Coturnix japonica: one gene and its partner. The protein of the gene in region 1 purifies or fractionates together with the protein of each later gene. This does not show direct contact. Links are inferred from orthologs where the notes say so. Each region holds a gene or a part of one and is shown in the gene's direction. Other genes may lie near its edges.

Region 1 (3,644 bases):
CTCAGAATATGGGCAGTGATGGTGTCTGCTGAGTGACTGAATCAAAAAGTCACCAAGTAATGTCCAGGTTCACTCCAGAGTCAAAAAGAAGGAAAGGATGGTTCCTCTCAAGAGGATGTTTTAAGTCACAAAAGCCTGAAATGAGTGGTTCACATGAGCCTCTTGTAGGCTAAAATGCAGCACAGTTTAGTGAAGAACTGTGAACAACTAATAAGACTGTAAGAACTCCCAGTGCTTTTCAGTGTTGGTTGGAAGTAAAAAACTGAGTTGACATTGGTTAGCATGGAGTACTACTGATAACCAACTTGGTTGGTGAGATATCAGTCCTCTCTCAGTGGATACTTTCTAAACTTTCTGTGAGACTTTTCATAGGTTTTCTTTCTTACTTTCCCATATGGAATACCTTTCCAGGATTCTTTGGTCATGCTGAGGTACCAAAGTAAAGATCTGCTGAATTACAAGCCTGTACTATGTAAATGGGCACATCTCTCCCAGCCAGTCTGTGATGAGCATCAGTTAGGTAGCATCAGCTGGTTGACCATTTGGGCCAAGGAGCCAGCAGAAGACCTATAGGAGCAAATATTGGGATGGCTAACAGCAAGGATTGTGTGGAGAGGCACATAACTCAGCCGATCCTTCCATTCCTTCTCTACCAACAGGATTTGATGACACAGAATGGGATAAGCTATGTCCTCAACGCCAGCAACTCCTGTCCCAAGCCAGACTTCATCTGTGATAGTCACTTCATGCGCATTCCTGTCAATGACAACTACTGTGAGAAGCTACTTCCCTGGTTGGATAAATCCATTGAATTTATTGGTGAGCTTTCATTACAATAATTACAGGTCCATCAGTTAGCCCTCAAAATCTGGACTCTTTTTCTGTCTTCCTCAGGCCTATTCCCAGCAGCTCTTCTTCTTTCACACACAGGAGCTGAGGGCTGGGGGAAGAGTCTAGAATCATTTTGCACAATGTCTGTGATCACATCAGTGTTTTCTCTCTGTTTTCTCTACCATGCTCCAGACAAAGCTAAGGTGTCCAGCTGCCAAGTGATTGTGCACTGCTTGGCAGGGATATCCCGCTCTGCCACAATCGCTATTGCATACATCATGAAGACCATGGGCATGTCATCTGACGATGCTTACAGGTGAGCATTCACCAGAGGACAGGGAGGGGTTGTACTGGTGTGCCTGAACCCACAGAAGGAAAGCAGTCTGAGCCCAGAAGAAGGGAGTGGTTGCTCCTTGAAGTCTTGCCTTGGCTGAGTGGTGGTGAAACAAAACCAAACCAAACCAGTCCTTCACGTAGTGCATGCAATGGTGGGAGCAGTAAAATGGTGTGTGGCAAAACCCCCAGAATCTGAGCATCCCCAGCTTCAGTCGGGGAGCCCCCAACCACTTTCTTCAGAGGGTTTTGGATAATGTCTCTTCTCCTAAAGAGACAAAGAGATTAGAGGGTGACTTACTGAAGGACTGAACACCAATCAGGGTTGTCTGTACCTCTTGGCAGGTTTGTTAAGGACCGTCGCCCATCGATCTCACCCAACTTCAACTTCCTGGGCCAGCTCCTGGAGTATGAGAGGAGCCTAAAGCTCCTAAAGGCCCTGAAGGCCCAGGGCGACCGGGGTGAGGGAGAAGCTCCTCAGGACACAACCGAGGCATCCGAGGCTGGCAGGCATCCCACACCGTCTACCTCAGAGAAGGTTGAGGACGTACCAAGAAGCACAACCTCTGCACCCCCACCCAGTGACCCTGAAAGGCAAGGTGGGCCACCCAAAGTCTTGTCACCCACGGCACTGCAGCAGGGACTCAATGGCTTGCACCTTTCCTCGGAGCGCATCCAGGACACCAACCGCTTGAAACGCTCCTTCTCCCTGGACATCAAGTCCGCCTACTCCCCCGGCCTGCGGCAGGACCCCCCAGGCCTACCCAGCACTGGGGAGGCCCCCAAGCTCTGCAAGTTGGACAGCCCATCAGCTCCCAGTGGCCAGTTCTCCCCAGTGCCCGATAGCCCTGACCGGCCCAGTGGGCCAGACCTCCTGCTGGAGGCCAAGGTGAGACAGCGACGCAAGCACAGGCACCAAGCTGGCTCACCAGCCCATGGCCTCAGCCTCAATATCAGCTCTGCCCGCAAGAGCCCTGGGGCAGAGGACAGCCTCCAGCCAAGGCTCAGCCTGCCTGGCCCACCACAGGCCTCCAATGGCTCCTGGGGGAACGTCCACCTCGAGTCCCCCAGCACCCCATCCTCTGAGGGAGGATGGTACTTCAGCACAGACTCAGCCAGTAGTGGTGGCAGTGGCACCGGCGGTGGGACGCTGTTCAGTGGCACCAGTCCATACCCCCCATTTAGTTGCAATGGGATGCCAGGAGGCTGCGAGATCAGACTGAGGGACAAGCAGCGGGCTGAGGCCCGGGATGGGAGGCACAGCTGGCATGAGGAAGCCGGCGCAGAGAAGCAGTTCAAGAGGAGGAGCTGCCAGATGGAGTTCGAGGAGACCATGTCTGAGGGCAGGTCCCGGGAGGAGCTGGGCAAAATAGGCAAACAGTCAAGCTTTTCTGGCAGCATGGAGATCATCGAGGTGTCCTGACACCCATCGTGGGTCATTGGAGCAAAGGGGTGGGGGGATATTTAAGATGGGGAGAGATGCAGGGAGGGTGGGTGGGGAGTATTTATACCCGCGTGCGCATTTTTGGGAGCACGCACATCAAAATGAAAGCAAAGAGGAACGAATCCAGAGTCAGGAAACATCACGGTGAATGCTTAGTGTCCCTCCTCATGCCCACTCTGGTTCTCCCACTCTAGCAGTCTCCAGCTCTTGGTGACATCACCCTGGGCTTTTGCACATGGAGCAGTGATGGGAGAGCAGTCCTCAGAGCCCTGTACTCGAATCCGGGGTGTAAAATTTGAAAGGGAAGGGGCAGGAATTACCATTTGGGGTTGGGAGGGTGAGCAGAGCCTATTCCTGCCTGGGGAGGGACGTGGCCCCGTGAGGACAGAGCACAGCATCACTCTGTCAAGGTCAGGAAGAGGCAACCCACCTATCCCTCCCCACACCCCAGTGCACTAAGCATGTGCCCCCATGTTTCTCTGGCTTGAGTATCCTAAAGATGCTGCACTAGAGCAGCCCTATACATATATAAATATATATTATATATAATATAAAGAAAACACACACACACACAAAGGAAAAAAGGCAAATGGTTTTACTGCGATTTTTATTGAGACGTAAATAATATTTCAATTTTTTGTTTTGTTTTTAATTTATTGAAGCTGTTTCATTCTGGCAATGATTTGCAGACAATGTGGGGCGGTACTTTCAGCTCTATTTTTACTGTGTATGGTATTTAAATCTGAAATACGAGTTTCTAAGCAATATCTGAGGCCTGTGGCTCCTTCTATAGATCATGTCGACGACAAAGATTTTCCCCCATTCCCTCTGAGTGCAGCAAAAAGGGGACAGAAAACTCTTTGGAGCACTTTTTCTAGAAACAAACAAGTGAACAAGGAAGTCGTAAAATCTTAAAACACAAACTGAGCCAGAAAACTCCCTTTCTGGAAGCTGCTGCCGCATCTCCGCTCCCTTGGTCCCTGTTTTCTTCCCCTACCCCATCATAGCCATCATTCCCATCCTGGCCATCATCTCC
Region 2 (4,072 bases), on another chromosome or scaffold:
ACACATAAACACGGCAGGGAATGCAATGTCTGATCATGATCTAACATAATTCAACAGGAAGTCTCAAACCTGAAAGCTGGCTATGTCACTTCTGGGTCTGTCTCATGGAATGACAGGTGGTGAGGCAGGAGTGGCTACCTTGGTAACATGCTTACAGTGTAGTGGGATCCAGGGACACCTGGGAGCAGTCTGAACAACAGTTTTGTTTTATTTTGTTTTCCTATAAATTGTTATGTATAGGTCTATAGGGAACTGCAAAGGAACAACTTCTAACTTAAGGGGTTGAAATAGGATTGTTTGTATTGAGAATTTTAAGGTCAGACAGTGCAGATATTTCCATAAAATGGGAATGTGAGTAGTATACAGCTTTTGACATTATGACAGTGGGTAAGACTGGAACATCTGAAGCAGTATCCTTACTAGTTAAAAATCTATTTTTTGTTTCAGAGATGTGGAAAGACAATCTCACTGCATTATTTTGCATCTTCAAAAATGTGGCACAAGCCATTCCAATGTTTGACAGTAAGATGTGAAGCGTCCAATTCACTGTGCCCTGTGCCTAACTGGTAGATTTTATGTATTTTTAAAGACTCTTCCGGAGGTTTTATTTTTAGTACTACGCAGTGTAAGTATACAAAGGCTTGTTTCAGCCATATTGACATGACTTCAAGGTATGGAGTCTGTAGACAGGGGTATTGCTGGTTGAAAGGAGAAAAACAGAGGAGGGAAGGGAAAGGAAAGGAAGAATAACAAACAGAACATTGTAAAAACAAAGCAGAGCACCCATGGGAGGTGCCAAGAGCTAAAGGTGGTGGTAATAACTCAAAATCTCACAAATAGCTGCCTAAAGCTTAGAGAACAAACGGTGCCAAACCAGATACAGAAGATGTTACACCACTCCAGATACCCAGCAATGAGATAAAGCACTGCCATTCCAGATGTTCAGGGGGAAGGCTAGGACTGCCAAGGCCTTGCAGGATGTCTGGGAACACTAGGAAACGGAGGAGAGCATGAAGGCAAACACCTGAAAAACGCAGTTTTGTTACAGCAGGCCCGGGTACAGGGCATAATGCTGGGAAGGAGCAGGCACAGCCCAGCAGACACCAGACCGGGCTCAGCGGCAGCGCTGGCAGCCTGCAGCCTCCCGCAGGGCCCGTGCCCGGAGGGGCGGCTCAGGGGCGGCGGGGGCCGGGCCGGGCGTGCGGGCGGAGCGAGCGGAGGGGGCGGGCAGCCGCAGCCGCGCCGGGCGGACGAAGCGCGGTGCGTGTGCGCGGCCCGGCCCCGGTTCATTATTCAGCGGCCGAGGAAGGAGGCGACGGGAGGTGGTATGTGCGGTGCCTGGGGTTGAGGAGGGATGGCGGTGGCGGCGGCTGGGAAGCGGGGCTGGAGCCGGGCGGGTGTGCAGGGAGCGGCAGCGCTGCGGGGGCCGGGCCTGGCCGCTTTGTTTACGTTCCAGCGCGGGGCAGCGGGCCGGCAGCGAGCGTGGCGTGGCCCTTTTCTTCCTGCGGGGTTGTCTGCGTTCGTGACCTTCCCTGCGCGCCGGGCTCCGCTGCGGCCCGGCGGTGCGGGGGCTGCTGGAGGTGCCTGGGCGGATAATGGCGGGGGCCTCTTTGTTGATGTGACAGGAGGGGCAGCAGCCTCGGCGCCGGGCTCCTCCTCTTCCCCGGGCGGGGGGCAGCAGCCCAGGCCGTGGGCAGCTCTGGCAGCCCGGCCCTCGGTGCGGGGAGGTGCGAGCGCAGCCGTGCTCAGCCACCTCTGTGCTGAACTTCCATGACCTTGCTTTCAAAACGCCTTCTGAAGCAAAAAGCACTTCCCATAACTGCTCCGATTATAGGGCTTGGGGAAGGTGGGCAATGCCTTTGATTCTTTTGCCTTTTAGTTTTTGTAATCCTTGTAAAAACAGTGAGCTCTTTGCAATTTTTCTTTGCACTTTGTTTTCTCCATGTCATTATCAGCATCCAGTTTGGCTCCTGTAGCCTGCTTTCTTATGTTCAGTGCAGTGCTTTCACCAGTGAATCCTGGCCCAGGCACTGCTGATAACCCACAGATACAAGTCCCACTCAATTGTTTAGTTCCCCCAGCTATACATGTGGCATGGCTTTGAATTTCTGTATCATGCAGAGCAGGCTTGCTGAAGTCTTTCAGACAGTCCAAAAACCTTGTGTGTTTTGGCCTATCTGATAACACAAAAGGTGCTGTACTGGTTTGTGGAAGGTGAGTTTTGCTTGCCTCCTGGGCATGTGCTTGTAGCATTTAGCAAGCTTACATTACAGCTGGCTTCTTTGTATAGGTGTGGAGACTTGGCTGTAATGGCACACAGCTGAGCTGCTGAGACACAGCCTTGTTTCTGAAGATGCCAGCAGAGGTGCTTCTAGGGCAGAAGCACATGTAGAAGCGATAATGCACCTCACTGTATCTGTATATCTGCAGATATGTTGATAGATAACTTTGAACTAGTTCAGAGTGTTATTACATGAAGAGAATCTGGGCCCAACCTGGTTAAGGATAGTATCCAAGTGAGCTCACTGATGAATTTGAGTATTCCTTCTGTATAGTGAAGGGAAGCCCTTCCTTCAGCAGTAGCAAAGAAAAATGGGTTGTATTTTGAGTAGTCTTGTTCTATGATCTCAACATGTGGGGGAAGCCATCTTGTCATTCCCCACTTGATTCAAAGATGTGTAGCATGGGCTGGTTAGATAGGAGCAGTGATCATCCCACATCAGTTTCCTTTCTTTGCTGTAGCTTTTGCTCTGTGGTCTCAGTTTCCTCCCTTGAGTTTGAGTGCCAAGAAGCTCTGATGGGAATGTCTGGTTCTGGTAGAGTGCTGCAACACACGTGATGCCTGTACAGGCATCAGGCACATTCCAGTCTGTCAGATACTGGCAGTTTTCAGGGCCAACTGGCTGAAAGTGTGACAGGAGGGAAGAATCAAACGTTTATTGACAGACATTTATTAACACAGAGCTGAATCTGTGTGAAATCGTTGCCTTAACTTTGAACGGGAATGTTAACTGTGTCCTCTGCTCTCCCAAGCTTTTTTGACCAGGGGTGCCTCCACTTCACAAGATACAATATAATCTCATGAAGTGCCGTATACTTCATGGAGACTTCTTGATCAGCGACTCGGACAAAACCCGTTTACTGCGGTACTGAATTTTGTGGTTGGGGACTACTCGTTCTAGGTAGAAGTACAGCTGCCCTTTTGTATGTGTGGCTTTTGTGTTTTAACTTCCAGTAACTGAAAGCTCATTAGGGAGCAAGGCTTTAGCTGGCTGCGTGGGAGAGCAGATGTAACAACCTTCCAAATTCTTCAGGTAAACTTGTTACATTGTTTCCCTGTTACCAAACTACCGGGAATTGACCACGTGTTTGCGTATTTCATCCATTGAAGTCATTTTCTTCCACCAATGTACCAGAACTTGTTCCTTGTGGTTTCTTTCAGCTACTAACGGGTTATCTGTTCCTTTTATATTCCCTTTGTTGTTTTGGTTTGTCCTTTCTTCCTCAACCGCCAAATTATCTGAATGGCTATTCTTTAAAAGATGCATAGAAAGTACCTGCATACATACCTCTTCCTTTCTGCAGTTTTCTCCCGTGTTCTTGATAAATGCAAATCACTTTGATAGTCTGATGAAGAGTTTAGTATTCCATGCCTTAAACTTCATTCTCTTCCTCCTCTTTACCTGTGGGAGAACGTGCTGTGTTTACAGTGTTCTTAAAAAGTGTTATTTTAATGTAATTTTTGTGTTCAAGAAAAGTTTGGATGTTGTGTTGAGGGATATGTTTTAACTGGGAAATATTGGTGTTGGTTGGACTGGATGATCTTCTAGGTCTTTTCCAACCTTGATAATTCTGTAATTCTGTTTGTTTGTTTGTTTTTTCTACTGCTTTTCATCATAGATTTTTAATAAAGACAGAATATTTTCTCTCTGTAAATGTTTTCTTCAAACAAATAAACCCTGAGTTGTTCTTCATTCAAAACCTGCAGAAACAGAAATCTGTTTATATTATGGGAAGATCTCTTGGTCCTTGAAAGCTGTTTAAAAATCAAATTGAAACTACTTGTGTAGTT

What was found. The genes of interacting proteins can lie anywhere in the genome.
Region 2: the proteins of DUSP8 (region 1) and MAPK8 purify together in Homo sapiens (affinity purification with mass spectrometry; 3 studies listed by BioGRID and IntAct, counting the BioPlex papers as one, with this or other methods). This does not show direct contact. The link is inferred for Coturnix japonica from reciprocal best matches to the Homo sapiens genes DUSP8 and MAPK8.

The regions. Positions count from the first base shown.
Region 1 is NC_029520.1:10,373,703-10,377,346, reverse strand, and holds part of DUSP8 (dual specificity protein phosphatase 8), read left to right. Parts: intron 1-659; coding exon 660-819; intron 820-1,023; coding exon 1,024-1,147; intron 1,148-1,509; coding exon 1,510-2,587; 3' UTR 2,588-3,644. UniProt on the Homo sapiens protein: Has phosphatase activity with synthetic phosphatase substrates and negatively regulates mitogen-activated protein kinase activity, presumably by catalysing their dephosphorylation.
Region 2 is NC_029521.1:15,676,683-15,680,754, forward strand, and holds the start of MAPK8 (mitogen-activated protein kinase 8), read left to right. Parts: upstream 1-1,214; 5' UTR 1,215-1,325; intron 1,326-4,072. UniProt on the Homo sapiens protein: Serine/threonine-protein kinase involved in various processes such as cell proliferation, differentiation, migration, transformation and programmed cell death.